Rhinolophus ferrumequinum: one gene and its partner. The main gene of each other region encodes a partner of the protein of the gene in region 2 in a complex. Links are inferred from orthologs where the notes say so. Each region holds a gene or a part of one and is shown on either strand. Other genes may lie near its edges.

What was found.
Region 1: the proteins of NALCN (region 2) and NALF1 are in contact, whole or in part, in a cryo-EM structure (PDB 7CM3), measured with the Homo sapiens proteins. The link is inferred for Rhinolophus ferrumequinum from reciprocal best matches to the Homo sapiens genes NALCN and NALF1. Residues at the interface, in NP_001337678.1 of Homo sapiens: Cys207, Val209, Asn220, Leu222, Ala223, Ile224, Pro225, Thr227, Tyr237, Pro240, Phe243, Tyr406, Glu409, Phe909, Ala1044, Lys1045, Asn1047, Pro1049, Arg1054, Ile1060, Arg1062, Ile1063, Asn1064, Val1065, Ser1066, Lys1069, Lys1080, Lys1081, Gly1083, Phe1084; in NP_001073865.1 of Homo sapiens: Lys278, Glu281, Phe282, Val285, His287, Lys288, Tyr289, Leu290, Gln291, Glu294, Tyr295, Ser296, Val297, Lys298, Ser299, Tyr308, Trp311, Leu312, Gln315, Leu335, Gln338, Thr339, Cys341, Phe343, Ile344, Leu345, Pro346, Asp347, Asn348, Asp349.

The regions. Positions count from the first base shown.
Region 1 is NC_046287.1:51,731,150-51,747,138, forward strand, and holds the start of NALF1 (NALCN channel auxiliary factor 1), read right to left. Parts: upstream 5,818-15,989; 5' UTR 5,440-5,817; coding exon 4,546-5,439; intron 1-4,545. UniProt on the Homo sapiens protein: Auxillary component of the NALCN sodium channel complex, a channel that regulates the resting membrane potential and controls neuronal excitability.
Region 2 is NC_046287.1:46,437,995-46,452,924, reverse strand, and holds the start of NALCN (sodium leak channel NALCN), read left to right. Parts: upstream 1-8,255; 5' UTR 8,256-8,788; intron 8,789-14,930. UniProt on the Homo sapiens protein: Voltage-gated ion channel responsible for the resting Na(+) permeability that controls neuronal excitability. NALCN channel functions as a multi-protein complex, which consists at least of NALCN, NALF1, UNC79 and UNC80.

The DNA of each region.
Region 1 (15,989 bases), about 5.3 Mb from region 2:
TATTTTAATTCATCTTGCACATGCAGATGCCAACCTCATCTAATTAAAGCAAATAAAACCAATGTATAACAACAATTATTAAAGCTTTGTGGTTGTACCCTATATAGCTACTAATCTGACCCAGTTATAAATCCAAAGTAAAAATACTCATTCTTTAGTCTATAAAACAACAGGCATCTAATATTAAGGTAAAATTTTGAGTGTTTCCCTATAAAAATAAAATACAGATCATAAAATTAGTCGTTGTATATGGAACAAAACTATGAAAAACAAAAATCTAGGTCATAAAAATTATTATGATATTGGTTTTAACCTTATAAATGGCCTTATTAATGGCTAAAGTGATTATCAGAATGGTGAGACTGATTTTGCAGAGAAGCAACTCAACTATAAAAACATGATTGAAAATAATAAAATGGTAGAATATAAAACAGGTCTGTTTGCATATGCATTCTACACTTCTGGTATTCTACACAGTGTCATAATATGTACGATAGCATTTAATCAACAGCAGAATAATATTTTATACTCAATATTTAAGTGAAAAGAATTGTTAGATATTTGATTTTATTTTTAAAACATTTTTCAAGAATCTAGAGTGCATGATAACAAAGTGAATTAAGAACTAAGAAATGCTCAAATTGCACATCATGTAACCCAAATTCCATGTTCTCAAACTGGTTAATGTTTGTGAATGGTTCCTGCAAACAATACAGAAAGCCTCAAGTATCACGATTGTTACATATGCCTAACATTAGCCAAGTATCTTTTCAGTCAGTGTCTGTTAAATAAAAATCATCAAAAGAATGTGCTTTGATATGAGATAACAAAAATAAAAATATGAGAATGCATATATTCTTAAGAGTATAAAAATTAGAATTTATCCTGTGAGAACTAAGATACAGATGATGTGATATTTATCTTGGAATCTAATCTCAAATCTTCTTTAACTAATCATCTGGCTTAAGGTACAGTAAGTAAGTAAAGCTATCAGTAACAAAAGTTTACCTGTAACATAGAAATTTATATTCCCTAAATATCCCAATTTCATAATCTATATTTTCAAGTATGCTAAGGAGCTAAAGACATATTTAAGAGAAAATATTTAATTTAAAAAATAAAACGTGTTAATAATATGTATATGTACTTTTGTAGCTAAGAATATTGCATATTTAAATATTACCAGCCAACTTGAAGATTATTACAAATTAGTCAGATTTGTATCATATATCAAAAATATTATTTTGAAGAACTCTGCAACCTACATAGAATTACTGTCATAACTTTTGCTACTTGATTTATGTAATATAATAGCTTGACTACGTATGAGCATAGGTATGTGCAAAAGATCTTCTTTATTTTTCCATAAATTACTTCCCAGGATAAATGTTTATATTTTTAAAAAATCAAGCCAGCTATTTTTCAGAAAATTAAAAAAATATTTTTGAGTGCAAATGATTTCTTTTATGTGTTGTAATACAAAATTTACTAAAGTAAATCCAAGGTGTATTTGATCTCCAGTGACTATGGACTCAAGGCATTAAGATTGTATCAGATTGTTTTTGTTCGTTCGTTTGTTTGTTTGTTTTTGCATAAGAGGTCAAAAAGCTCTTTAAAACAAGTTAAATAAAAATTAAATTAAATCTATTTCATTTTACACATATATGGAATGTGGCTTTTTTTAATGGGAGAGAGTATAAAACTAAAAGAGTATATGTCCTCACTTTTAAAAGTTATAAATCACTGCATTAATTATTTAATTATATATGAGTATGATAAAGTTAATATAGTTCTCCTAAAATATAAATTCCAATAATTTGTATAACTAATATGACGAAATGTATTCTATCTATATTTTATAAATACATTTATAAACTATTAAATTGGGTGTTTTCATGAATATATTACCAAGTCCAGAAATATAATGCATTTAATTTTAAAATAGCCTAGGCCTATGTGACTACTTTAAAATATGGAAAATTTTGCATAAAATGTATATCTTGAACAAAGTCTCTGATGATAATCATAATTTCATAATTATAAGTATGTTTGAAATAAGTAAAAGTGTTCAGAAAGAATCTCAGACACATTTTTCAGACTCCAAGTAGCATTTTAAACCATGTAACATAATTTGTAGAGGATATTTTTGTGACTTTTGCAAAATTATAAAATATATATTAAACTAAGGAACTAACCAATCAATTTGTAAGTTATCAACCAAGAACACTTGTACCTTAAATTTGAAAATGTTATTTTTGGAAACAGTTATTGTTGAATAAATGTTTGAAAGTTACAAACAACAAAACCAAGAAATAGCTACAAGATATCACAGGTCATAAATTCTGTGTGTGGGTTGAGAAATTCAAATGACTGTACTTACTTTGCAATGTGAAGAAAAAATGTTTCTAAAAAGGAGTTAAGATTTTTATAATGTGCTTTTGTGTATACAGTCAACAACTGCGACTTTATACAAAAACACAATCCAGAAGTATTTCATAACAATACAAGTTAGTTTAACCTACACTATACCTTACACCTATGATGACATAAATATAAAGTTGAGAATTACTTCGGGTCAAGAAGAAAATAAACATCTACTTATATTTAAAATTTGGATATTTGAACAAAGATATATTTGACATGCTTGTTTGAAAGATAGTCTACTATCAGTCTAAAGTCTACTGACCATACAGATTATCTCTTAAACACTGAACCTATGCAAATTGCAATTTCTAGATATTTCTATAAGAATTACATTCAGAAAAGCAGGCAGATTCAAATTATTACAAGGTACCACTTTTAAATATAAATAGTATACTGAAACCCTTGCAACATTTTTATAAGTAGTAAAATTAGGAGGTACATAAGTTTCCTTATTTGTCCTCATTTTTCCAATGCAACACAACTTGTCAAAATAAATATGTAAAAATCACACTAGTCATTCATTATTAACTTCTACCACTAAGAATAAGTTTAATCCCCATGCATGAGGTATAGTGGTACAGCTAAGAAAAATACATAGGAAAGTTTCAGATCCATGTATCCAGTGAAGTAACATTCTAAATTAATGTAACCTCAATATTATTGTTTTCAAAGAAGATCTGTTTCTGGTCTTGAAGTATGTTGACAAAGCAAGTTTAGTTTGAGTTTAGCTTAACTGTCAAAAGCACAACTAATCAATCCAAAGTAAAAACAGCCCTTGAACCATGTTTATTATAAATAGGTATCCCTTAGCCCAGTTATTTTGTCAAACATCACAAGGTCCTTTGGTCCATATTGCCCATATTTCCCCAGTACAAAGCAAGTGAGGCAAAATGGGGACAGTTGTTTTGTTCCTGCGTGGTATTGGGGAAGTAGTGAAGTGAAAGGAAAAGAGGGAATGTGGTGTATTATTTCTTTTTAAAAGCAATACTATTTTATTGTGGTGTTTAAGAAATTACCCTTGGAACAAAACATTAAGACTTACTGAGATTCTGTCATCATTTCCTCCCTACTGAAAGGTCACTGCTGTATCTTCATCTTCAATAGATCTCTTGGGCAAATCTTATTTCAGCACCACGGACAGTAACGCTTCTACTAGGACATGCGCCCCTGGTTGGTTGCATTGGTCATTTTTTAAGAAATTTGCATACACTTCTCCTTTGTCAATCAGCAAGGGTTACATCCATTATTATATTAAACACGAAGAGATTGAATATGATACACATTTTGAAAGAGTTCAGTATTTTTCATTCATAGCATAAAGCATTTGCCATTTAGTACTGGAGAGCATTCTGAAGATTCAAACTAATTATATAAGATCTCTGATAAAACCTAACAGTGATCATTGATCACCAGATACTTAATTAAATAATCCTACTCATATTGAGTCTCAGCTCAATAATTATACAAATGTCTAAGTGAAAACACACACACACAAAACTTATGGTGAATAAATTATCCTTAGGTAGGCCTCCAGTTTTCCAAATAACCAGAAATACCCCTGTAAAACAAGTAAAAAATTTTTTGTGCTTCCTACATAAACAACTACAAATACTTTCTCTTGTCCCTCCTTGCCAACCAACTTACTGATTCACTATCAGAGAGTTCATGTGTGCAGGTCCATCAGCCAAAACATACATGCCTGTCTCTGACTTCTGATTTTAGATGGAGTCATCAGTCCCATCACTGTCTTCCTAACAAACCACATTTAAATTCCATTTTTTTTAATAAAAGGTAACAGAGATTAAACCAATTACATATCTTTAAGAGATAGTTAACACACTAGCTTGATTATCTCAGAAGACCTGGGTCTTCCCTGATCTTCTAAGGATTCCCAGAAGGAGGTACCACCAGTCCACCAGCGATCCACGAGGTATTTCCAACTCAAGCAGCAAGGCAAGCTCTTATAAACCCAAAAACGACGACTGAAGAAAACCAGAGCCAAAAAAAAAAATTTAAAAAAACTCTAGAAGACACTCCAACCAAGCAAAACAGATAGAAAAGCACATGACGGGCAGAGAGAAAAAAAACAAACAACAAAAAAACAGAAACCACCGTTCCTACCTTGCAGTCCTCAGGACAGGATTTCACCGAGTACTCCTCCGACTGTAAATATTTATGGAGCACACTTTCGAACTCTTCGTATTTCTCCTGAGCGTGGTGATCGTAGTCTTGGTAAGCCTCGATGCATTGCCTGCAAGTGGTCCTCTCGCCGTCCTCCTTAAGCACCACATCCAGACTACAGTTCAAAGTGTTGGGACTTGACAACCCCGAGAACAACTCCCAAAGTGTGTAGGAATTACAAAACGAAAGGTAAAAATCCGACAAGTTCCAGAGCGGAGTTGGATGCGTCCCCCTCACCTGCTGCTCCTCCTCCCGGGCCGCCACCCCCCGACTCCAGTTCCTGGCGCACACAGCGTCGGCGCTCTCCACGGTGAAGCACTGGCCCGAGGAGGCGCCCTGGGGGTAACAAGTCTCCAGGCGCCACACGGGTTTGGCAGAGTTTCCTAGAAAAAGAGCTTTGCTCCGGCTGTTTCTGCCTCGGTTGCCCTTGCCGCCGCCGCCACCGCCGTCTCCCGGGGAGGGGGGCAGGGTGGGGGACGAGGAGGCGGAGAGGAGTCTGTGTGCCTGGGCGGCGGGCGAGGACTCCCCCATGCTCGCCAGGAGCGCGGGCCAGGAGGGCTCCTGCTGCCGCTGCCGCTGCTGCTGCCGCTGCCGCTGCTGCCGCTGCTGCTGCTGCTGCTGCTCCTTGTCCCGGGCCCGGGTCAGCTTGGCCTCGGCGCAGAACCACAAGTGATCAGAGAGCAGGACTGTGAAAAACAAGAGAGATGCCAGAGACAGTCGCCATTTCTGAGCCCTCTCTGAATCGATGAACGGTTTCTCGTTCTCCCGGGGTGCTGCCAACCAGATTTTTAAGCCGTCGTCATACTGCCGACACATCCAAGCACCCCTGGTCATATTTTGGGAACGCACAGCCCTGGCCGACTCCACCGTGAGGGCTCCTGTGCCGGTGTCACCGCAATATGCATTGACTTAAAGGGTTTAATTTCCTTATCCCCTCCTCCCGTTTCTTCTATCTCTCTCTCTTTCCCTCTCTCTCCCTCTCTTCTCTTCTCTGTCTTCTCTCTCCCTCTCTCTCTCTCTCTCTCTCTCTCTCTCTCTCTCTCTCTCTCTCTCTCTCTCTCTCTCTCTCTCTCTCTCTCTCTCTCTCTCTCTCTCTCTCCCTACATAAATATTACCAGGCTTTAGAGGAAGATCTGACTTGCTTCCGACCTAATCATCAGCCGACCACATCCTCTGTAGAGTAGGAAACAATAATGCAGAGAGAGAGAGAGAGAGAGAGAGAGACAGAGAGAGAGAGAGAGTGAGTCGGAGGAGGCTGGGCTGGTGGCCGGTGGTGAGCTGAGTGCAGGAGGTGATGATGGAGGTGGCAGGGTGGCTGGCGCTGCTCCTCTCACCCAGGCATTGTCAGAGCGCGGGTCCCCATGGCCCTGCTGAGGACAGCCCGCTCCCCCCTGCCAGGGGCATTCCGCGTCTCCGCTGCCCACTGACAGCGACCAGAGAGCCTCCCCAGCTCCTCTCCTCCTCCTTCCTTTTCTTCTTTCTCTCCTCCTCCTGCTCCTACTTCTTGCTGTCTCTCCCCGAGTCCGGAGCCTGGGCGGCCGCCGCCAGCAGGGCTCTCCCTCCCCCCCACCCCCCACCCCGCGCTCTAACTGCCGCTGCTGCTGCTGCTGCCGCCGCCGCCGCCGCTGCCGCAGGTCTGCCCGCGGGCGCCACCGCCGCCGCCGGGCTTTGACTGCTGACACCGCCTCCCCCGGACCTTGGGGCCGAATCGCCTGAGCTGGGCCTCCCGAGAGCCACAGTCATCTTCAGTCCCCGGCTAAGTTGCCGCCATCTTCGTCCTGGAGAAACACTTTTTTGGGGGGAGCGCTGGCTTTTGCGTCATCTCCTCCCGCGCCGAGATCTCTCCATCCTGGCGCATTGGCACCGGGCTCGGCCAGCGCGGAGGAGGAGGGCGAGGACGCACCGGGGCCGGGGAGGGGGGGGCGGGGGGCGGCTGTGCCCGCGGGCCCCGCCTGGGCTTCTGGGCTCCGGCGCTTCTTCCTTCCTTTCTGTCCCCTATCCCCACCTTTAGTCTTATTCTATTAGTACTGACAAAAGTCAGAACGCGAATGCATGACTGAGGGTGCTAGATCATTTCTTCAGCATCTTCCACTCTCTCTCTGCCTTTGGATAAGCCCGAGTTGCAGGCGGGCAGTTCAGGGTTGCTAATAGGGAGAGGGTCCGGATATTGCCCTCTTAACTAAGTAATGATCGACTTCAAATGCAAGGTTGGGGAATAGGAGAGTAAACACGAATTGGCTAGAGGATAGAGGAGGTGACATCTGCCTTGGGATCTCCATGTGCCTTGGGATCGCTAGAAAACTAGCGATCAACAACTACCAGTGCATTATTTTGTCAAATGAGTTTCGTGCCATATATAGAAGGGATGGTGTGTCTACATCTATATATGTCGCTGTATATATTACTGCGACGTATTTCATATTCGAAAGTAAAAATAAGTGTCCTCATATAGTCAAGAAAAAAATCAGTAAGACGTCGGATACCAGCGGTCAAAGCCTAGCCTCTGCTCCGACTTCAACGTGTTGACCTAGGATTCCTCCTTGCATCTGGAGCATTCCAAGTCCCCTTAACCCTAGCTCCGCAGGCCTGCGCCCCAGCGCCCACCGAGTGAGGCTTTGCTCTCCCCAGGACTTCCGCAGCAGGTCAACGGGCTGCCCGGGTGTCAGGCGCTGCAGTCCAAGCCTCTGGTGCCCCTTAGCGTTGATTCTCGGAGTTCCGAGAAAGCGACGGGCGCGCTGGGAAAACCTGGGGTCCCCACGATCCCTGCTCGTGCTGGTTGATGCTGTGGGTAAACATCAGTCTGGCTTTATCTAAAGACCCTGCTCACTCCACCCCTCACTCCCACTCGAGCTGCGGGAACAGGAGACAGCGCGAGTGCCAGGCGCCACTCTGTGCGCGCAACCCTAGCGAAGCCTTATCCGGAGCTCTCTCTGGCGGTCGCCTAGGAAAGTGGTTTATTCCACCTGGCAATCACTGTGTCATCGTCCTTCCCTGCTTTCTAATGACCCTCATACTCTGCGGGGTGCACATGCACGTCACATTGTCAGTACTGGGTGCCAACGTTCTAATAAATATCTTGAGAAACCAAAGGGATGGATCGTCCGTATTCATTTTGGAGAGGCGCTGTGGGTGTTGGGATAACAGAAAAGTGGGTATTTTTAAATACAACATAAAGTGGGCTTGTAGACGGAAGTGAGTATAAGGTCTGGCATTTTCTGTTGTATAAATAAATACATGTGAAAGATAGCAGAAGTCTGCATTTATGTTTCTTGATAAAAGATTTTGCAGAACATGAAAATGAGCATATAATATTCTCAATCCTGAAATGATTCTTTCTCCCTTTTGTTTTGAACCTGTTGGACCTTTGTGATCAAATATAGCCGTTCTTATTATAAACTCAGAGTGGGGATTTTTTTTGTAAAAGAATTTTAAAAGGAATAGTTCTTATATCTGTTATCTATTTTTCTATCTATCTTTATCTCTATCTAGATTTAGTTATTTAATACCTGGGTTACAGGATTTATTTCATACTTCTTTCTCTTATCTACTCCTTTTTTTTTTTTTTTACCCTGTTTCTTCCTCATTTGAAGATGCTGCCAGGACAGGTTTATATTTCTCTTGATGTCGCTTGTCTGTGTAAGACAGAACGGTCAGAAAACCCTTGACTAGGGAAGCCCACAGGGTGCCCCTGAGCTGGGACACACACAGAAAGCTCACAGGCAGGCCAGACCTAGTTTCAGAACACAGAGATGATCTGAGGGTGACTGGCTTTTTAACATGAAAAGGGAGAATCCACCACAGCCATTCTCCTACCCTAAAGGGAGACAGGTGTGCAAACTGGCTAAAATACCTAAATCGGTGACCACCTCCCACTGTGCACCACCTGACCACCACATAACCCGGCTGCCTTTGCACACCATGTGCCTCCAACCCTGGCAGCTTGGACTCACAGCTCAAGTCAAACCCGCTCCTTTTCATAGTGATTAATTACACCGTGGCTGGATCTAAAGAAGACCTTAAGTCCTCTTTCAAGACAAAAAGTGGCATAAGTCCCACTGAAATGAATTATCATATTTGTTCCTAAAATATAAATTCTTTCTTCCCCCAAGTCAACTATACTATAGTTTTTGACTAACTCCCTTCCACAACCCCACCACTCCATGTTCAGTTTCATCTTCAAAGTTCATGTCCACTAGCCTAGAGTTGCACTGTTAAGTGCTCTGGCTATTGACAGATAGACTCATTTATACCATGTCTCCCCAAAAATAAGACCTAGCCAGACCATCAGCTCTAATGCATCTTTTGGAGCAAAAATTAATATAAGACCCAGTCTTATTTTAATATAAGACAGGGTATAATATAACATAATATAATATAATAATACTTATATTAATTTTTGCTCCAAAAGACACATTAGAGCTGATGGTCTGACTAGGTCTTATTTATGGGAAAATACGGTAACTCCTAAGGGATGGTTTAAAGCTAAGGACCAACGGAGCTACTGAGATCAAACTATTAACAATTACTCTGGACAGTGTTTCGCAGCATTTCCTCTACTGACATTTGGGGTCAGATAATTCTTTGTTGTGGGGGTCTGTCCTATGCTTTGTATGAGGCTCGCAGCCTCCCTAGCCTCTACTCACAAGTACCAGTAGCAAACCCCCTGTCCCCAGTTTTGACAATTAAAAATGTTACCAAGCATTGCCAAATGTCACCTGGAAACAAACTCACTCGCACTGAGAACCACTGCTCTAAAAATACCTCAAAGTAGTAGTTACTTAATTCATATCTGCATAGGAGAAGTTCAGGCATCAGAAATAAAGCTATAATTTTTTCTTTAATTCAGCGAATTTATAATCAAAGAACTCTTTTCACCTAGAATCACCACCTCATCATACCTCTCTTGTTATAGAATATTTTTAAAAGTCTACAAAATATCCAAACTCCCTATAGACACGTGTCCCATTTGGGAGACCATCTCAGGGAAGATGTAGATGCCTGATCACTGTACTGTACACCTGAAGCTGAATAATAATGAATGCCAACTATAATATTTTATATATATATATACATACATATATATATATATATGTATGTATATATATATATACACATTTATAAAAGGCAGAATACAGCATTGGGAGTGGAGACAGTGGAAATGGGATGGCTCGGTGGTGTGATGTCAGAGAGATAGTGGATGGGGGGAGGGGGGTCCACAGTGTGAGGGATACAAATGATAAACGTCTAAGAAAAAAAAAAAAAACCTCATAGACACAGACAATAGTTTAGTGGTTACCAGAGGGTAAGGGGGGTGGGGGGTGGGAGATGAGGGTAAGGGGGATCAAATATATGGTGATGGAAGGAGAACTGACTCTGGGTGGTGAAAACACAATGTGATAGATTGATGATGTGATACAGAATTGTACACCTGAAATCTATGTAATTTTACTAACAATTGTCACCCCAATAAATTAAAAAAAAAATATATCCAAACTCTCTTAACCTCTCTGCCAAATACAAAGTTAAGGGAACAACTGACAATTTTCATTTAAATCTGACTATCTGAATTTTTCTCCATAATTCAGGTGAAAATATTATTTATTAACCGAATTGTTTATTATTCAGGCAACTGTCTGTTTGTACTTTATATGTGGACCCTCGACAATATATCATAAGCTAAACGTGTGTATGTCCATATATATATATATATATAATACAAGTACTGCATGAACATTTTAGAAAATTACAAAAAACAAATAAGCAATTTTAAAAGTCAGTCGTAAGTAATACCAACACCCAGATACAGTCATTATTTCCATTTTGTAGTATCTAACATTTATTTTATATTATAAATCCCTCTGTTTTATGACATTTACTAAACCAAATTTTTTTTAACAGTCGAAGTAGAAAGTATGATAGCATACATAACCACATTTATTAGATAATAATGCAATTTTCTCTTCAGTATTGCATTATTAATTTTAATCAGAGACACACAAATTCTAATGGTATCTCAGAACATCAGCATCTCTCTTTCTCTAAGTATGTGATTAAATCAGAAAGAGAACTAGGACTGGGGAAATAAAAGAAAGGAACAATATATAAATTAAAGGTCCATTACTCTCAAACAAGGCAAAGAAGCAAAGCTGGACTCTGTTATTTTTACCTTATTATTACTCATATCTAGTCAAATTATAATTGTCTCACAAAATATTTCAATGTTTAGTAAAAGTCTGATATACTGCATTAAAATAGTGTTTTATCTGATTTTTAAAAAATAATTAGGATAATAATATTTTCTACAATAGACCATACTTAATTCTTTGTTTTTAAGTAATCTGGACCTTGCCTTCTTCTAATAGTTCCCATGAGTTGGAATGTTTTAAAATACGACAGCTTTATGTGTACAGACCCTCTGGAAGTAAACTGTCAACATCCAATGTCACCTCTGCTTGTTCTATGTTGGTTCTAGAACGAACTATGGAGAATCTGAAATAAAAGACCATGTCTGGCCTCTTGAAGCTTAGCTAAGGGAAAGAGAAAACAAGTAGGCCAGCAACCACAAGACAGTGGAAAATGCTGGCGAATTGGCAATTTAGAAGACTCCAGAAGAGGAGAGGTGAACTCTTACCTGATTTTGAGAAGGACCAAGACAGGAAGGTATGAAGGGAACTGAGCAACATTAGGAAGGATTCTTGAAGAAGACCTCCAGTTTTCAAGGACTCTGGCGCTTGAAGGGGCTCAGGGTCCTGGAGGATCTATGGGTAAGTGGGCTGTGCTGGTGTGTGGGGAACACATGGGGAATCTGCAAGGAAGAAACTAGAGACAACAGCTGGGGCTCCATCACAAACAATATTGTAAACTGAGTGAAGGAAATCGGTTCTGCTGAAGGTGGTTGGAATTCATTGAGGAGGTTTAGATAGTGGTTTAAAAGTTCGTTTTCATTAATATCACTCTTCACTAAAATCAAAATGAGAAATATGTTCGAAGAAGGTGTTGACCAGATTAGTAAATGTTGATTCTTGTTAGCTTATCAGCTCAAATGTAGCACAGTGGAAAAGAAGAGCAAATAGTTTGGATGAAGTTTAGGTTTCATTTATCAGAAAAGGCAGGCTGTGGAGTCTAGAAACTCCTACGTAGGTTTTACCTAAGAGTGTGACTAATAGCATAGAGTAGTTTAATAACATAGGCACATTTCACAAAGCTGCTGACTAACACAATTGCAAATATTATATTGAGGGATATGGTATTGGAATGTACTTACTGTATTACTGTTCAGGTTGTCATTTATGCTTATGTCCTTCAAAGAATCCAAAGTTTTTAAGTTATTTGATTATACTTACTTTCATGGGAATCTGTATTTTTTTCCTATTTAAATAGCTAGATTTGTTATGCATTGAAAGGTAGATACTTTGCTTACTCTGCTTTTATATTTGAAAATCAATATAATATGCTTGCTTTCTCAAAAATTTACCCTTAAATCTACTAGAGTTAACATGTCCCAAATAATTTTACCGCAGAAAAGTCAAATCAAGAAGAAATATATTTTTTCTTCTAGCAAAACCACCACTTGAATATGTCTACTCCCTAAACCAAATATATAACAATCCTGATATACTTTCTTTTTATACCTTAAATGTCTTCTGGATACACAAAAATAGGCACATCCTCATTGTTATTGTGTGAGGCGTGATCAAAAAAATACAGTGAGTGTTTAAATAAAAAACAATTTATTAAAGTAAAGCACACGTTGCTATTAATCCCCCTCAAAAAAAAGTCCGCCTGCTTCAAACATACTTATCCCATTATTCTTGCTGCTTTCCAAAGCAGTTCTGGAAGTCCTCTTTCCTGAGTATCTATGGTTTCACTTTCACTGTCACAGCTGCCTTAATGTCTTGAATCAATTCAAAACGTTTACCTTTTATGGTCATTTTGACTTTGGGGAAGAGCCAGAAATAGCAAGATGTTAGATTTGGTGAATAAAGTGGATGAGGACACACCGTAATGTTTTCACTTGACAGAAATTGCCATACCAGAAGCAATATGTGATATGAAGCCTTTCTGTTGTGATCACAAAATATGGTGAATGCTGCTGCCAAGTGCCATCCAACGGAAAGGCAGGGATCTTCAATATGGGAGGTGGTGAGTTGACCCTTAGTAACAGTGTGTGATAAGTTTCAACTTGTTCGGTGCAGTCAATCGGGTGTGAGCTACAGTTGGGAGAAGGTGTGTTTTAAAGTGTGCCGTAAATCATCCTCCATCATGACAAAGCTCCGTGTCACACATCACTTCTGGTATGGCAATTTCTGTCAAATAAAAATATTACAGTGTCCTCATGATTTACAGCACACTTTAAAACACACTTTCTCTCAACCGTAGTTCACACTCAACTGTCTACACTGAACAAGTTGAGACTTGTCACACATTGTTACTAAGGTTGGACATGGCTTCCAGTATTGAAGATCCCTGCCTTTCTGTTGGATGGCACTAGGCAGCAGCATTCACCAAACTTCTTGATGACAACGGAAAGGCTCTGTGTCACACATTGCTTCAGGTATAGCAATTTCTGTTAAATAAAAACATTACGGTGTGTCCTCATCCACCTTATTCACCGAATCTGATACCATGCTACATCTGGCTCTTCCCCAAAGTCAAAATGACCAAGAAAAGTAAACGTTTTGAATCTGTTCAAGACATCGAGGCAGGTATCACAGCGAAACTATAGACACAAAAGAGGACTTCCAGAACTGCTTCAGAAAGCAGTAAGAATGATGGGATAAGTGTGATGGAAACGAGGAGATGTGTTTTTTGGGGGATTAATGGCAATGTGTCTTTTCCTGTAATAAATTGGTTTTTATTTAAACATTCACTGTATTTTTTTATTACACCTCATAAGTGAAACTAGATTACATTCTAATGTACATATTGATCTAGAAAAGGAATTTTGTGTTTTCAGGATTCACAGATAATATGCAAATTATTGACCAGCATATTAATATATTTTAAAATAAATTAAGCATAAAGAGCTAATAAAGAGTTGTCTATGTTTACCTACGAAGAACATAAGATTAAACCTTTAGCTTTTAAGTCTCCTACAGTTTGCTAATATAAACATCTCTTTAAAGATAAAAACAGATTCTAGAACTATCAGGTAACTGAGGGCTCCGGTTAATTACCTACAATGGTAAATATACCAGAGTCTTTCTGTAATTTTGATTGATCTTTTTTATTATTTATTATATTTATTGGGGTGACATTGGTTAGTAAAATTACATAGATTTCAAGTGTACATTTCTATAATACATCATTTATATATTGCACTGTGTTCACCACCTAGAGTCAGTTCTTCCATCGCCAAATATGTGACCCCCTTTTAACTCTTCTGCCACCTCCCCTCCTCTTTACCTTCCGGTAATTACTAAACTATTGTCTGTGTCTATGAGTTGTTGTTTCTTTGTTTGTTTGCCTTGCTCATGTGTTGCTTTAAGTTTTATATCCCACATATGAGTGAAATCGTATGGTTCTCAACTTTTTCTCTCTGACTTAATTCGCTTAGCATGATAATCTCAAGATCCACCCATGTTGTCAAAAATGGCAGTATTTCATCTCTTCTTATGGCAGAGTAGTATTCCATTGTACATACAGCGGGTGTCAAAAATGTATACAAGTGGACACTTTGGTCAATGTTACTCAAGCAGTAGTTCGCCGTAATCAGAAGTGTCTGGATGCTGATGGTAACCACTTTGAGCACCTCTTATAATTGCAGAAGTCAAATGTGACTTGTATTCATCTTTTGTTATTAGTATATATTGAGTATTACAATTGCAATACAGTTTTCCTTTCTTAAAAATGTGTATACATTTTTTGGCCCCCCTCTGTATGTACATCTTCTTTATCCAATCATCTATCAAAGGACACTTTGATTGTTTCCATGTCTTGGCCACCATGAATAATTTTGTAAGGAACATAGAGGTACATATATCTTTACAAATAAATGTTTTCAAATTTTGGGGGTAGATACCTGGAAGAGGGATGGCTGAGTCATGTGGCAACTCTATTCTTAATTTTTTGAGGAACCTCCACAATCTTTTCCATAGTGGCTGTACCAATTTACATTTCCAGCAGCAGTGTACATATGAAGGTTCCTTTTCCTCGACAGACTCTTCAACACTTGTTATTACTTGTCTTATTGATGACAGATATTCTAACAAGAGTGAGGCACTATCTTATTGTGGGTTTGATTTGTATTTCCCTAATAGCTAGTGAAGTTTAGGTTTTTTCATATATCTGTTGGCTGTTTGTATATCTTCTTGGAAGAAGTGTCTGTTCAGGGCCTCTGCCCATTTTTTAATTGGATTGTTTTGTTGTTGTTGTTGAGTTGTATGAGTTCTTTATATATATTGGTTATTAGCCCCTTATGGGAAGCACTGTTTGCACATATCTTCTCCCGTTTGGTTGGCTGCCTCTTTGTTTTGTTGATGGTTTCTTTTGCTTTGCAGAAGCTTTTTAGTTCAATATAGTCCCATTCATTTATTTTTGCTTTTATAATACCGTGTTTCCCATAAAATAAGACCGAGCTGGACAATCAGCTGTAATGCGTCTTTTGGAGCAAAACTTATTATAAAACCCAGTATGATATGATATGATATGATATGATATGATATGATATGATATGATATGATATGATATGATGTGATACTATATAAGGCCCGGTCTTATATTATAATAAAATAAGAGCGGGTCTTACATTAATTTTTGCTCCAAAAGGCGCATTAGAGATGATTGTCCGGCTTGCTCTTATTTTCGGGGAAACACGGTATTTCCTTTGCCTTCGAGGTCAAATTCATAAAATCCTCTTTGAATCCAAGGTCCATAAGTTCAGTTCCTATGCTTCCTCCTATTCAATTTATTGTTTCAAGTCTTATGTTTAGGTCTTTGATCCATTGTGAGTTAATTTTGTCATATGCTGACAGGTAGCAGTCTAGTTTCATTCTTTTGCATGTAGCTTTGCAGTTTTCCCAGGACCACTTATTGAAGTGGCTTTCTTTTCTCCATTGTATGTTGTTGGCTCCTTTATTGAAAATTATCTGCCCATATATATGTGGGTTTATTTCTGGGCTCTCAATTCTATTCTATTGCTCTGTGTGTGTGTTTTCTGCTAGTACCATGGTGCTTTGATTACTGTCACTTTGTATTATAATTTGAAGTTTGATTGATCTTGGCTTGACTGGGTTAATTGGGCAGAACTAGAACTTGCTTTCTATCTGCATACTTCCGATATACTCAGTGGCGTTCAAATCTTGGTGAGCAGAGAATCAAGTGGGGGCTTTAGTACTCGGGCACCTCCTGAGAGACTTGCTTCAGTAGGATTAGAGCTCCAAGGA
Region 2 (14,930 bases):
ACATTGCTGATTGAAGATTTAATTCCAGGTGGCTCACCTAGATACCCAGCTAGACGGGTTGTTCCTAAGCAGCCCATAAAAGGATTTGCTGAATAAGTCATGATAATATTAACATCACAGTAATAATCATAATTTAAATTCTTCGATAATAATGAGAAAGTCAATAGTCATAAAGTTATTTATTCAACAACTAAATATTGCACATTTACCATATGTGTACAAGCTCTGCTCTCGGGCTGGGGATACAATAGAAAAGTAAACTAACAAAAATCCCTCTTCTCAAAGAGCATATATTTTAGATTTTAAAAAGCAAACATCTATGGGAATAGGAAGTAAATCCTCTGAAATAACACATTTTGTGTCATTTATGCTTTTATCTTGCAACGGAAGGTACAATCTCTCCTCCAACCGACTTGGTTGATTGTTTGCTATTCTGTATAACTCTTTACGAAAGCACTTCTGTGCCAGGCTCAAAGCTAGAAAAGCATTTCACTTTACCTCTAATTCCAATTTGCTATTTCCAAATTCCCATAATGACACAATTGTACTAAACCGATCGATCATGTGTATTTCTATAATCAATTATTCTATTTCCGTAAAAGGCAGGATCCAAGACAGCGGATATTACTTTATTCATTCAACAAATATTAAGTGCCCTGTATGTACTAAGCACTGTTCTAGGTACTAAGGATGGAGCAATGGATAAACAGACAAAACCCTGCTCTCATGGAATTTCTATTCCAGAGGTGTAAACAACGAGCAAGATAAATGAGTAAAATAATAGAGAATGGTGATATGTAAAAGAGCTGTAGAGAAAAGACTTTTTAAAAAAGAATGGGAATAACAAATTTTGTATTAAGGGCATTGAAATGTTAGGTAGAGTAGACAAAGAAGGTTTCACTGGAAGATGATATATAAGAACTAAGGGGGTGAGTGAGGCGAAGAGATTCCTGAGGGGAAAGTATTCCACACAGAGGAAAGAGCAAGTGCAAATGCCCTGAGGTAGAATTATAAGTGACAGTTCAAGCAACATCAAGGACGTGAATGTGGCCAAAGAGCAATTCCTGAAGCAGGGTAGAGGGAAAAGAGGTCAGAGGGCTAACAAGGTCATAGGGTGGACACATTATGTGGGGCATGGTAAGTCAGAGAACCGGGGATGTCATTCTGCGTGCAATGGGACCGGTCTCATAATGTTTTGAGAAGAGGAGTGGCATGGTAAATTTGTTTATTTCTTTGGTTATCTGTGCTGAGACTAAGCTGCAGGGGCCAAGAGACTAGTCAGGAGATACAGAAGTAATCCAGGCAAGAGCTGAGAAAAGTACGAGAGTTGGAAATTGTAAAACTCTGGTTATGTTTTTCTGATAAGTTGATTGTGAAAATTTTCAAACATAAGAAAAATTGAAAAAACTATTCAATATTCTGACATGCACCCACCACCTTGATGCCACTTACTTACTCTGTCATATGTTCACCCTTTTAACCTTCCTCCATCCATCCATCAATCCATCTTAGTATTTGATGCATTTCAAAGTAAATTGCAGACCTTCACACATTTCTGCCTAAGTAATTCAGCATGCATGTCAACTACAGTTCAACATATTTTACAGCCTTTTACTTTATATGAAATTTGCATAGAATAGACAACCTTTTTAAAGATATAGAACATTCTTATCATGCCCCCAAAACTACTCTCATGCCCCATTATTCTGATATTTTTCCATCATTATTTTTTCCTAATTTTGAAATCCATATTGATGAAACCATATAGTAGTAACACTTGTGTAAGTTTTCTTAGCATGTTTGTAAAGTTCATCTATGTTATATGTACCAGCAGTTCATTTATTTTAATGCCTGGCCTATCTCAATAATTACAGAGAAATCTAATTTATTTTCCAAACAAATTTGGTTACACAAACTAGCTTGTACAACTAGGTCATCATGTTTAAAAAATTACCCTGTGCTTAAAAATATATAGTTGAATTGTGGAGCAGCTGTCATTTGTGAAATAAGTAGCCCAGGGTTTGTAACATGATGGACTTATATCCCTTCAATATCTTGTGCAGTAAGGATTATCACAAAAATATATTAAAATCATGCTTATGTATTCTCCATCTGTGACCTAGTGATAATTATTTTCATAAATTTATCAGTCATTTGTTTCCAAAGTTCTTGAAAGAATAGAATCTGGATTACAGTAGGGCCTGGTATATGTATTGGTTTGCAAACATGGGGTTCCCCAAGTGAAATCTGAGCCTGACCCCCATACTCAGAGGGTAAGGAAAGACCAAAGAAAGAGGCAGACTGCTCTAGATTGGTAGGTGGCAGGTTTAATAAGCAAGGGAACATATTCAGGAGGCTTGTCTTAAGTGGGCACCAGATGAGTAGATCTTAACACCTGCCCACCCGAATCTTGAAAGTTTACATAGGCCTTAATGAGCTTCAGTCACCTATTCAGTCCAGATGGTCTCAGCAGCACCTTACTCTCTCAAGGCCATGTCCTTGAAAAAGATTCCTACTGTGTGATCAGTGGGCAGAATGTACATTCCAAGGACAGAGGGAGGGTGAGAAGCCTCTGAAGCCCGGGCCCAGCTTGTAGTTCAACCAGCAGTCATGTCCTCTCCCCGAAGCGTGTGTGAAAGGCCTGGACTCATACCGCTCTCCACTAACTCTACACAGTGAAGTACAATAAACTGTTTGACACACTTTGGCTGCAAATGATAGCAAATTATGTTTGAAAGAAATCAACATTTTTATTTAGAAGATGACTTCAACATTAAGAGACATTAAGTGTGTGTAAAAGCACACATGCTTTTCTAATTTTCCAGCAAACACTGTCGTGGGTGTACTATCACTAGGTTTCAGTGGACTAGTTGAGTCATGAGCAGAGACCAAATGCCCTGATTTCAGATTTCATGATGGCAACTCCAGGGCTCTGTAAAGAAGCAACTTTAGGCTAAACTATAGGGTGGCTTTAAAGTGCAACATAAGGAAACTGCATATTTTAAATTTTCTGATAACTCCAAATGGACTTGTTTTTCCTAAGTGTAAAGTCTTTGTTTCAGATGACGGCTGAGTATGTATGCCACCACACCTCATAATGACTATAAATCATATAGTCAGAAGAGTTTACCCTAAAGAAAAAAGGTTTAATATTTTGTTTTGATCTAGACATAAAGTAGCTGGTCATTGTTGATGAAAGTGTTTTTTTCTAGTGTCCATTTGCTCTCGTTGTCTGTGCTTTCATTAAAGACCACAACTTAAGATAACACTAGAGATTGTCTGATTTTGTCGTTCACAGCATTAATAGACTGAAAGAGAAATAGATGTTTATCTCAATAGATGTAGAAAAAGTATTTTTTAAAAAACAAGTCATTCAACATTAAAAAGAAATAGAAATAACCTTATACAAAAAAAATTATTAATTGAAAAACCTATATAGCAAACATCATATATAGTGTTAATCATTGGAAAGTATCCATTTGAGATCCAAAACTACCTCTGTATCCACTGTCTCCAAGGTGGCCAGCAGAGAAAGGCAAGGAAAAGAAATAAAATGTATAATTTGTAAAGGGAAAGAAAAACTATGATTTTCCGGAGATAAAATAATTATATATACAGAAAATCTAAAAACAAAAACCCTACATTACATTTTTAGAATTTGCAGGACTAAAGTTCTAACAAGGTTTCTGGACTTAGAAGCAACTAATAAGAGAATGAAACTTACTAACTCCTGTTAGAATATCATCTACAGAGAAAGTTGTCTTAGATTAGCTCGCTGGAAGCAAGAGCTGAGACAACCAATCAGTGGCATATGATTTGTTCAAGGGGTGCTTTCTGGAGAAATGAAGGGAGGGTAGCAGGAGATTGCTGAAGGAGCAGAGGAAGGATGCGGGAGTCTAGCTCAGCTGGGTCCTATTGGGATCTCTTGAGATGAATTACACCAGAGCTGATCCACCTTTAGATGGGAAGGCCAGCTTGGCTTGTCCATTTATCATTGATTTCAGACTGCCCCTTCCCCTGGGTGGGATGGGGTTATATCTTCCCAGGCGAGGCATCTCCCATTCTGAAAAGGGCTGTTTTCTGAAGAAGGAGACAGTGATGAGCTGTTAGCACTCATCCTAACAGCAGCTGGGGAATGGATGCCCTGGTCTGGTAAAGAGTCTCTTGCTGTGTGTGGCATCAACAGAACCCAACACTGTCACCCCTTGTTCTCAGTGCTCCTCACATCTACTTGCTTCACACATTGTTTAGTCTACCCAGGCAGAGTTTCTCCAGGATTCCGGTTGGTCCCAATTTCTGGGCAATTTATAAGAGGAGAATTAGCAAAATGAACAACAGTCCCCACCGCTGCTACTGGCCCCAAGTTGATAAGTGATGGTCATCAGCTCTCTCCTGTCTCACCAATTCTTGGTCCCTCAGCCAGCACTTTTGAGGGGCTTGCCTTGCAGAGTTCCCATCCCCTCAACCCTGAGAGAGCTCAGTCCTTGGTTAGCATAAATTTATTAATATGTTTTGTATGATAAATGAGATCTTCAAGGTTATTTTCAGAACTCAAATGTTTACTCCTATCTGGTAGAATCTGTTATTAAATAGTCAAAACATGTATCGTTTGATTACTGACTCATTCTCTTGAAACACGACCTTTGTTTCAGAAATCCACTAGTTCCTTTGGCGATCAGCTCAGCTGCTGCTCAGTACCGTGAAACCTCTGTTTTACTCCCTGCATGAGTGTTTAATTGGTATTATTATTTATTCCTGATTTCACAGTCTTCCTGTTTTTCTTCTAAAACCTAACTTCTCTGAAAATATAATCTAAAGTAGACAAAACTGTGAGCTAAGAATTTTCTGTTAAATTAACCTGTAAAGTATGCATAATGGCAGGACCACACTTCTACACGATGTGATTTTCCAAGTCCAGCTTGTCCTCTGGAACGCCTCCTATATCGTTCGACTTTATTTTACTATCTTGCATTTCATGTCCCAGTATATTTCTGCCCATTTTAAGAGTCGTAGTTCTGTCTGAGGTATGTACCATCTTTTTTTTCTTTTATTTGCTATTGAAGGTCTCCTATCTATGGCTGATCTAAATGCAAACAGGAACGACTTGAAACGTAAAATGGCAGTATGACAACCTTGCAAACACCTCAAATCTGACTCAGCAGATGATCTTTTACCACCTAGTTGCACTCACACGTTCTTAGTGCTTCAGATAACAGTTACAATATAAATGCAGGGTCTACTGGGATTTCAGAACTGCTCCAGGGTCCATATGATGATGGAGATGCATGGGACTTGCTCCAGGGTCCATATGATGATGGAGAAGAGGGAAGAGAGAGAGCAAGTCCACTCAGTCTACTAGCAAAGGAATGCTTGTGAATAGGTACCAACTACTGCAATTGTGTTACTCAATGGGATGCCTCTTTTTTTAAGAGAGATTTTCCAGTTGTATGTCCTACTGCAGAAGTACTTAAACAGAATCACTATGGAAATATTTAAGATCACCCAGGTGATCCTTATTATCAGGGAAGTTTGGTGAACAGTGCCTTAAGGGAAAGGTAAGATGTGAGGTGTCTTACAAAATCTTGTACTAGTTAACTGGGGAATGATGTTTTGTGGTTGCCTGCACAGCTGATTCAGGAGAATACTACAACCCCAGAGGCACACAGTATTATGCTTCCTGCCGGGATGTGTCGGAAACAAACTGTGTTACACCTCCCCAGAGTCCCCCATCACCAAAATGCATCTATTCTGCAGAGACTGAATTCTGTACATGTTAATCCATACTGGGCAATTAGTAAGCACTGGATGCCTCCTGGTTAGGCTGCTGATATTTTTAAGTAGGTCTTCTAGACCTTTATTTTCCCTGCTCAAAGTGTGTCAATCATATTTATATTTGGTGGCAAGAGGACCATATACGAGCCCTGAAATCATGCAAAATTAGCAAATGTGTACACGTTAAAATCAATCTTAACAAGGATCTTTAAAAAAAGAGAGCGAAATGGAGCATCTTGAGTAGTTACTTCAGTGTAATCAACCCATAAATCTGATCTAACAGAGTCCTTCTGGACACTAATCAGTTCCTATATTCCCATAGAGCACAAGGCGTTCTTCCCCCCTGCTCTCCCGCCCCTACCCCGCCGATGGATTTTAAATTTTCTCTTTTAGTATTGTTATGGTTTTCTCAGCTACTAACTATAGTGTCAAATGAGATGCTAATTTTAGATGGAAATAAACAGTAGGGAGAAATATATCATTTTCATCAAATTCTTACTATCTTGCATTTCACAGTTACTTTCATTCCAAAGCACCTGCCTGGACTATAAACACAATTTTTTTCTAATTGATGGTTTACTGTCTTGCTTGTAAATTGGCCTGGCTTCATATTCTGATTGTAAGATTTCTAATATTTGATTGACTGTTTCTCTCTGTTCAACTGTGCCCCTTCCTCGATCTCATACTGTTAAATACAGCTTTAATTGTATGAGCTCACCCTTTCACATGCCTTCTGGAGCTGGGCATTGAAGTGAGTTGGGCAGGGGCAAATGGGAAAAACATACCTGTGTAAGGGAGACACAGGACACCTCTAGCTACTTTTTGCCATGAGGTAATTCAAACCTGACTTGGCCAGATCTTCTTATAATTCATAATAAACTAAAAATCTCGTGGTTTACAAACGTTAATTGATCTTAATTTGTCAAAAATATTTTGCAAGCCAATCAAAACACACTTCTGAATTATATTGAACCCACAGAGTAGCAATTTGCTGTCATTGGGTTACAGCAATGAGTGTAGCTACAGAGCCCTTTGTACCTGAAAAAGATGCTGTCCATCCTCTCTACTTTTACTGATAAGAAAATATAAGGATGATGAGCAGGTAGAAGAAGTGATGTGATATTTAGGACATAAGTATTAATATGTGCCTTCTAGGATGATTGTCTATGCCCGTAAACAAAGAGTTCCTACAGATTCCAGGATAAGTGTACTGAGCTTCTCCACTGCTGTTTCATTGAAACCCACAGATTTCCCACAATTTTCTCCATCATTCATTGTTTGGCTCCTAAACATGAATTATATTTATATAGGAGAAGTTCAACCATAAACACGGAGGAACTCCCTGAAATGCCTGATTGGTGAGGAGTGGTGCTAAGATTAGTAAAATTACTGCCATTATCAATTCTTTAAAAAATTTGTAAATATCTTGGTCTTTCATTATTTCATGAATATTGTTTTCTAATTGATAATTCTAACTTGATGTATTCCAAAGAATGATACACAGCTATATATTTTAAGATACAAACTGAAATCAACTAGCAGTTAGATCAAACAATTAAGAGCAGTAACTTAAAATAATGAAACAAATCTGTGCATATTTTTACTAAACGAACTGTTTATAAATATACCATTGTTTAAATTATTTTCCCTTTTGTGTTATTAGAATATTTCCATATGATTTCATCATTTGTTAGCTTTTTATATATTTAGTCTTTCTGAAATCTTTGGAAATTTGAAAAAAATATTAGTTACATGTATTTCACAAAACGCTGATTATTTTTTAAATTATAAAAAAGTGCTGATATGAGACAATAAAATAGCTTTAATATTGGCCCAAAGAGAATGGGTTGTCAATAGCATTTTTTTAGATAGTGACTTCATTGAATATACGTAACCAGAAAATACATCTTTAAAAATTTGTGCGTATGAACTTACTTCCATTCCTTGGGCAATAACATTTTGTGATATGGAACTGTTCTTCCTTTAGGAGTTCTGATTTCTCCTTTAGAGGAAGCTTCATTCAGTTTTTCTCTCTCCCTCTCTATTTATGTGCCTGCGTGTGTATGATGTCTAAATCACTGTCAAGGCTCCCTGGGTGGGTTTAATATCTGACTACAAGGCAAAATGCCAGCCCGAGTAAACTTTCCAGGGAGTGCAACTGAGAGGATGAATGTCCCCTGGGCCTGAACACGGTGCTCAAGATTCCAGGATCTCCCTAAAACTGTCCTGCTAGGAGTCCAGGAAACCTCAGAGGCAGCTTCCTGTTCTGGTATACCTACAGTGCACGGAGGAAACTATCAGTTTTTGAATGGACATCCAGCCTCATCCACATAACAAAACATTTTAGTTTTAAGGAAAAATGTTAATGTGTTTAGAAGACTACCATAAGTGTCACTGAAGCACTCATTATGTAACAAGGTGAACTAGTCCGCATCCTCAGATACTGTCCAGTAAGACAAGACCACACACTCGCACACACATACACACGCCTTGCTCACTCCTGTGAGGTGGCCTTACGTGTGCCCATCTCTAGTGCACACGGCCGTGCTCGGTGAGCACGACAGAGACCACGAGAGGAGCTGGCAGAGGAGAACCCAGCTGTTGCTGTGAGACTGCCGGTGGCAGCCAGAGAGAAGGAACCTGCCAGCACGGACCCTGCTGCTCCCCACCAGCTGCAGCGCAGGCTCCTCTGCAATTTCCTCCCTTCAGCCCAAGGCAGACCCTGCGGCAAAGCCAACTCTGATTTGAAAAAAAAAAAAAAAAAAAAAAAGAGGCAAAAAGAAAAAAGCCCTAGTCCCTACCCATCTCGCTCTGAGGCCCCGCCGCCTGGGTGGCAGCAGCGCGCGCCAGCACGCGGAGCGCTGAGCCGCCGCACCGGCTGGGTGGCGCGCGCCAACGGAGCTGCGGGAGGTGAGGGGCCGCGTCCCCGCGTGGTGGGCACCGCGCCCTGCCCGCTGTCGCCGCCGCCGCAGCTGCACCCGCGGCACCATGACCGCTCTGAGCACTAGGGTTACAGGTTGGTCACCGCCGCCCGAGGCCCGGGTGCGCGCCAGTCCCTCTCGCCGGGGCTGGGCCCAGGAGGGCGGGGGCGGGGGTCGAGGGCCCGACACCAGGGCAGAAGGGGCGCCCCCACCTTAGGCGAGAAGGGGGCGCTGGCGACCGAGATGCGCCTCCCTGGTCTTTCAGCGGGATGCGCCTTCCCGGGCCTGGGAAGCGCACGGGTGGGCGCTGGAAGCCGGGGGCCGCCAGACCTAGGCCTGCCCCACCAGGCATTAAGGGTCAGGTGGCTGGGGATGTGGTAGGTGCATGGGCCTCTCCGCCCCTGTGGGCGATCGCGCGGTTTGGGGAAGCTGATCTGCTCCAGCAGGTTTCAGAAAGGGCCGGGGGCCCTTACCCACCCCACCTCCGTGCTTCTGCGAATGGCTCTGGGCTTCACATTCCTCCTTTTATTAATTGGCCTGGCTGAGCCTAATGATTGTTTAAATCATTAGGGTGGCTACACACAACATGCAAAAACACCATTCTGCCAAAGCAACACCGTTTTGTCATTGAGCCCTTAAGAAACGTGTAGATTTCCAGGCTGGAAACTCAAAGTGGGCCCAGAAACCTGAGCAATGGGTTACCCTTCTGACTCGAATTTTCCACTTTCAGGGTGGTTGATGACTCTGAACTCAAATCCTGATATATTCTTGACATACCATAGGATAACTCTTCCAATTTCAGGCATAGTTTTTCAGGGATATATTAAGGATGTGTATTCATACACACACTGGCCCAGGCCTGTGAAGGTCGCAGTCTTTATCTTGCCTTTGTGTGGTCATCAGTAGGCCTCGATTGCCCTGGTGGTGAAGTGGGAGGTGGGTACCAGTGACTGTTGTGAATAAGAAGGATAAGATTGAAGGAGAAGACCTTTAATAGGGATCAGAAATTAATAGGTAGCTATTTTTTAAGTTTATGATTTATATTTTTATAGCTACAACTGTGGTTTGATTTGAAAGGAAGTAGAAAGGGAAAGGATGGACTATGATGGTTATCCCTGAGGCAGACATACAGCTGGAGTGATTTTTTATATTTCAAAGATTGTTTCAATAGTTCTAAATAAAAATGATGGCTTCTCAAACCTCCACAACAACAAAATTCATTTCCTAACTGGTTGGTTCTCATTCTGTGGACCTTTCTATGTTGAATTTTTCATTCTTCTATAGTGTATTTTGAGCTAGCTATTGCTAAACCCAAGCAGACTGAAGGAAAAATCAGATTTGGGGAAAATTTTTTAAATGGATAGGCTCATTGGACCCTCTTATGTGTTTTTAGCATACTTGACATTTTGGCAGAATAGATACTCTGTCATTGATAAGGACTATACTAGAAGCTCTATAGAAGCTGAAGATACTCTGTCTTGTGAGCTGGTCGTAATGTAGTTATAACTTTGGATATGATTTGCAAGATATTCAACAGAGGAAAATGTTCTACTTTTAAAAGAAAAAAACCTACTCAAAATAGTATTAGTCGCTGCAGTTTAGAGAACTAAAGGTTTGAATAGCATTTTCTTCTTATTTGGGAATGACATGTTTTTGAATTGTGTTCTATTTGCTTCTTTTTTCTTTCCTGCATACATTATAAGTGTGTGTAGGTGCACGCACACCTGGGCACACATGTACGTACTTATTTTATCATTTATCAATGATGCTGAAATAATTTCAGAATCTTCATGGCTATATAAATTTATTACAGGGGGGAAAAGTCACATGTGGATTTAGATTTTGTGAAGGAAAAAAATCACATCTTTCCACAGTATTATATCTTAATTGTAAGCCAGGCACCAGGCCTACGGATTCAGTGAAGAAAGAGATAAATAAACCCAGACCCTAAGAATCTGTCAGAAAAGACAAATCTGTAATCAAGTGGATAGAGTGAGCATCCTATGTTCTAGTTTTGGTTTGGAAATTATGACCTTGAGTTTAAAGAAATTTTGAATTGCCCTTCAAAATTGGTAACAACATTTTAGAGTTTGATTATCATGTTATATGATTCTTACCTGTCTCAAGGACTTGTGCAAGAAGTTTTTACACCTTCAAAACTCTTTGTGTGCAAACATTTAAAATCTTTAAATTTATGCTTTGAATTTTAAAATAATCAGACATGATGGAAATGACACAAATGGTAGAGAAAAGAGAATAAACACCTATACTCCTAACAACCTAACACAAATGATTGTAATATCTGTATTTACTGCAGCCTTTTTAAGACTACATACTTTGTGTAGTCATAGTCATGTATTGTACATTTTTTATACTGTTTTTCCGTTTAACATTTATCATAAGTACTTTTTCGTGTTTCTATATACAGTTTACTTGCTTAAAAATTGTATATGGCTATCTGTATGTATAAGATTAGCCTCATTTATATAGCCATACCTCTGTCATTGGATATTTGCTGTTTCCAGTTTTCCATTATTATAAATAATGTCCCGATAGAGTACAGGGATTTATTCCTAGTGGATGTTATTTCTCTTCATGATAAATTTCAAAATAATAATGATATTCCTGGACAAATAGATTATTTAAATTATTATGGATATTTTATGTATAAATTATGCATATATATAACGTATATTATGCATATATACATATATTCAAGTTCATTTCCTAAAGATTATAATTACAAATAAGATGCATTATATGCTTTCTGAGGTAAATCTGCTTTCTATTTAGTATTTGTGGATAACCTTCCCTCTTTTACAGGAATAAGATAAGATAATAGCTTGGACCTAAGACCTTTGCATTATATAAAGACTTGACCTTAAACAGATTAGGTTAACTTAATTAGATTACCTTAATCTGAAATCCAGATGATAAAATATACCCCTTAGAGTAAAACCTAAACAGGAGTGGCATAAAAGTAGTAAGCTGTAAAAAAGAGAGTAAGCATGTAACGTCTTTTAGGAAAAAGGAATGTTGAGCTCCAGAGTGTAATTATGCTTTTTTGCTTTCTTATTCAGACTTAAAATAAATGATCAAAGGAGTTTATGTAGTGAGAAACCTGTACCCCACAGGTATAAAGTGAAAAAGACTGTTCACTATATACTCCAAGGCATTTCTCATAGATTCAGTACAGATGGAACTAGATTAATAGAACTATTGGGCGAGTCTGAGGTTTAAGTCACGAGTCCCTTTCTAAGAGAGTTGTACAAAAAACCAAGGAACAGAACTCCTGTAGACCCACTTAATTTGAAGTGTTGAAGGCTAAAGTTGGATCATTCTCTAAGAAAGACAGAATTACATGACTTTTGAAGCAATTTCTCTGTGATACCCTAGGGCAAGTGCAACCATACCAAATGGAATACACTCAGATGACAGGGACTAAGTCAATGTGTCCAGAGGTGGGGCAGGAGTCGGGATTCTGGAGAGGAATCCCAGGAGAATTAGAAGAGAAAGGTCAGAACATTGTAGCCAAAGGAATCACTTATATGGAGATCAAGAGTTAGACTTATCTCCAATTATGCAAAGAAACAAGATGAAAAGAGGAGTTTGTTTGGGGCAAGGATACATGACGTTTATGGAAGACAGCCAACAGAGACACACAAGTAAATGGAATACAAGATCAGAGCAAATAGAATACAAGCCATGTTCTAAGTCAAATACAATATTTTCTTTTAGATTTAAAAAACAAAAAATATGCAGATGAAAATTATTTATAATGGACCAGGAAAATTTTAATGAAAAGCAGCCAACATCTAGTTATAGCATGGTGAACACTTGGAATTTGAAAAAAAATTTTAAAGGAGAATATCCCATTGATATTCTGGTCAAGTTAAAAAAAATGTATATCACCGATCTCCAAAGGAAAAATTTATACTGACTGGATGCACCCTCTCCAAAATGAAACCTAAGCAAAGAGTAAAATAATATTCTGAAAATGTACAATTCTGAAAAATACTAGAAGACAATTCTCTTATGATACTAATATGAATCAAAAAGGGAATATGAAAAAGGTGAAGAAATAGTAGGGCTTTTTTGGTTGGCACATATTAGGCAAGTGCTACTAAAAAAAAAAAGTAAGGTAGAAATATGTAAACATCAAACGATTCAAAAAGTAATTAAATGAGAAAAAACATTAAAGTAATAAAAGTTACCATCTTTAATGAAATTATAATTACAAATCTCATATATATTAATTGTCATAGCATTATAATACGTATAACTGAAAGTATTACTATGTTCATTTATTTTGGGAGACATGACCCGTAGATGCAATGTTCCCTCAAAAGGTTCTGTGACCTATGGTGGGATTGAAAAATCAGCATTTTGGTTTGAGAAGTAAAGAAAAAAAAAAAAAGAACTGGAGAGGAAAAGAAAGAGGATAATGTTTAAAAACATGAATGGATTCATTATGAAATGGGAAAGCTTTAGATCTGATAGAAAAAAACTAAGAGCCTCAGCATTCTAATCCTTAAGTCATATTAATCTATAGCTATCTATAGGATGTATCAGTATGCCCAGAAATAAAGATGAGCTCAAGAAGAAGGAGAAAAATAAGAATGGGGGTCAGTGAAGGAAGGTATTGGAGAAATTGGAGATGAAATTCTAAGGATGAGTAACTGAATCAGACTACAGTAATGAAAAAGCAGAGGCAATGGTAGAGATTTATCGATAGAACAAATGCTAGTATCTTGGTGACCAAACCAAAAGAATGAAAAGGAGGGATGGGTGAAAAATAAATCCAGAACTTCAAGTTTGGCTGATTGTAGGTGTTTTTATTCTTAGTTTGTTATGCCTAGATTAAACAATTGATTACTTCTTTATCATTGAGTTAGCTGTAAAGCTTTGGCTTTATTATTTTTAAAAATCTGTTCTCCTTTATTATTTTTATGGAACCATAGATCAGCTTCATTTATTACTTCTGGAGTAGAGGGAGGATTTTTTAAAAATTACTTCTTATTGCTGAAAAGTACAAATTATGGAAGCCTGTATCAGACAAAATACAAATTTGTATCAGACAAGATACAAGTCAGTGAAGGCTGAAAATACTATTGCATATATGTAACAAAATTTGCCTGAGGTTAAAAAAAAAATCCTAGATAATGTAAAATTGGGATGGGAATCTTTCAAGCATGGAAACTTGCTTAACGATTAACCCAAGAAGTAAAGCACAGAAATTAGGATAAATATTGTAAATAAGGGATTTAAATTTTCAGAAATAGAGCTTGCTGGATTTGGAGATACCTCTCCTTAAATTATTCTTTCCATTCCCCTCAATTCAATATATGTCAATACTTTATGGAGAAAAGATATTAAACTCTGGTGAGCTTCAAAAAGACTTTCTACTTTTTATTAAATAAAAATTTAAAGTATTTTAAAAACTGACTTAGTTGAAGTAGGCAATTTGTTTTCCCTTCCTCCTTTCAAGAAATAAATAGCTATTTTAGAGGTATATTCTACACTAGAAAATTATAGTAGAAAAGTCAAGGAAAAACCACATTTCTTAGTAAACTTCTCATAAGACAAACATTTATTCTTGTACATAAAATATATTCCATATAGTATTTTTTGAGAAAATTCTGAAATTCTCTGAGAAAAATTTAAAAATAGAATATACTGTATGTACATAGAGTTATAAATCAAAAATTTTGTCTCAGATTTCCGTTTTGCCTGTATTGTTTATAGCTGGTCTCTCTAATTTTTTTTTTTTTTTTTAATTTCACCAAACAACTAGTCTTGACTACAAATAGTAAACGCTACGGTGTTAAAATGCTCTACTGAACATCTAGACCAGGGATTTCATCATTAGTTGAGACCACCGCTGGAAGTGTGTAAGAATCACTTGGGGAGTGTACCTTAAAGTACTATTTCCCATAACCACCTCAGAAGGTTCTGATTTAGTATATCTGAGGTGAAAGACACCCAGCATTGAGAATGTTTAAAAACCTCGCTGGATGATTTATGTATTAAGCAATCTCAGGAAGCTGCTATTTTAAATCCTTCTCCTTCTTTGTGCAAAATCTGTGGATTCATATTACAAAATTAAACAACCACACACCAAAAAGGTAACTCCTTTCAATTTTCCATACTATTTTACGTATAGAAAAGTTTGGAAAACCACTATTTTAAACCATCCACCTTTTTAGTCCAACCTTTGTAGATTCATTACAACATTAA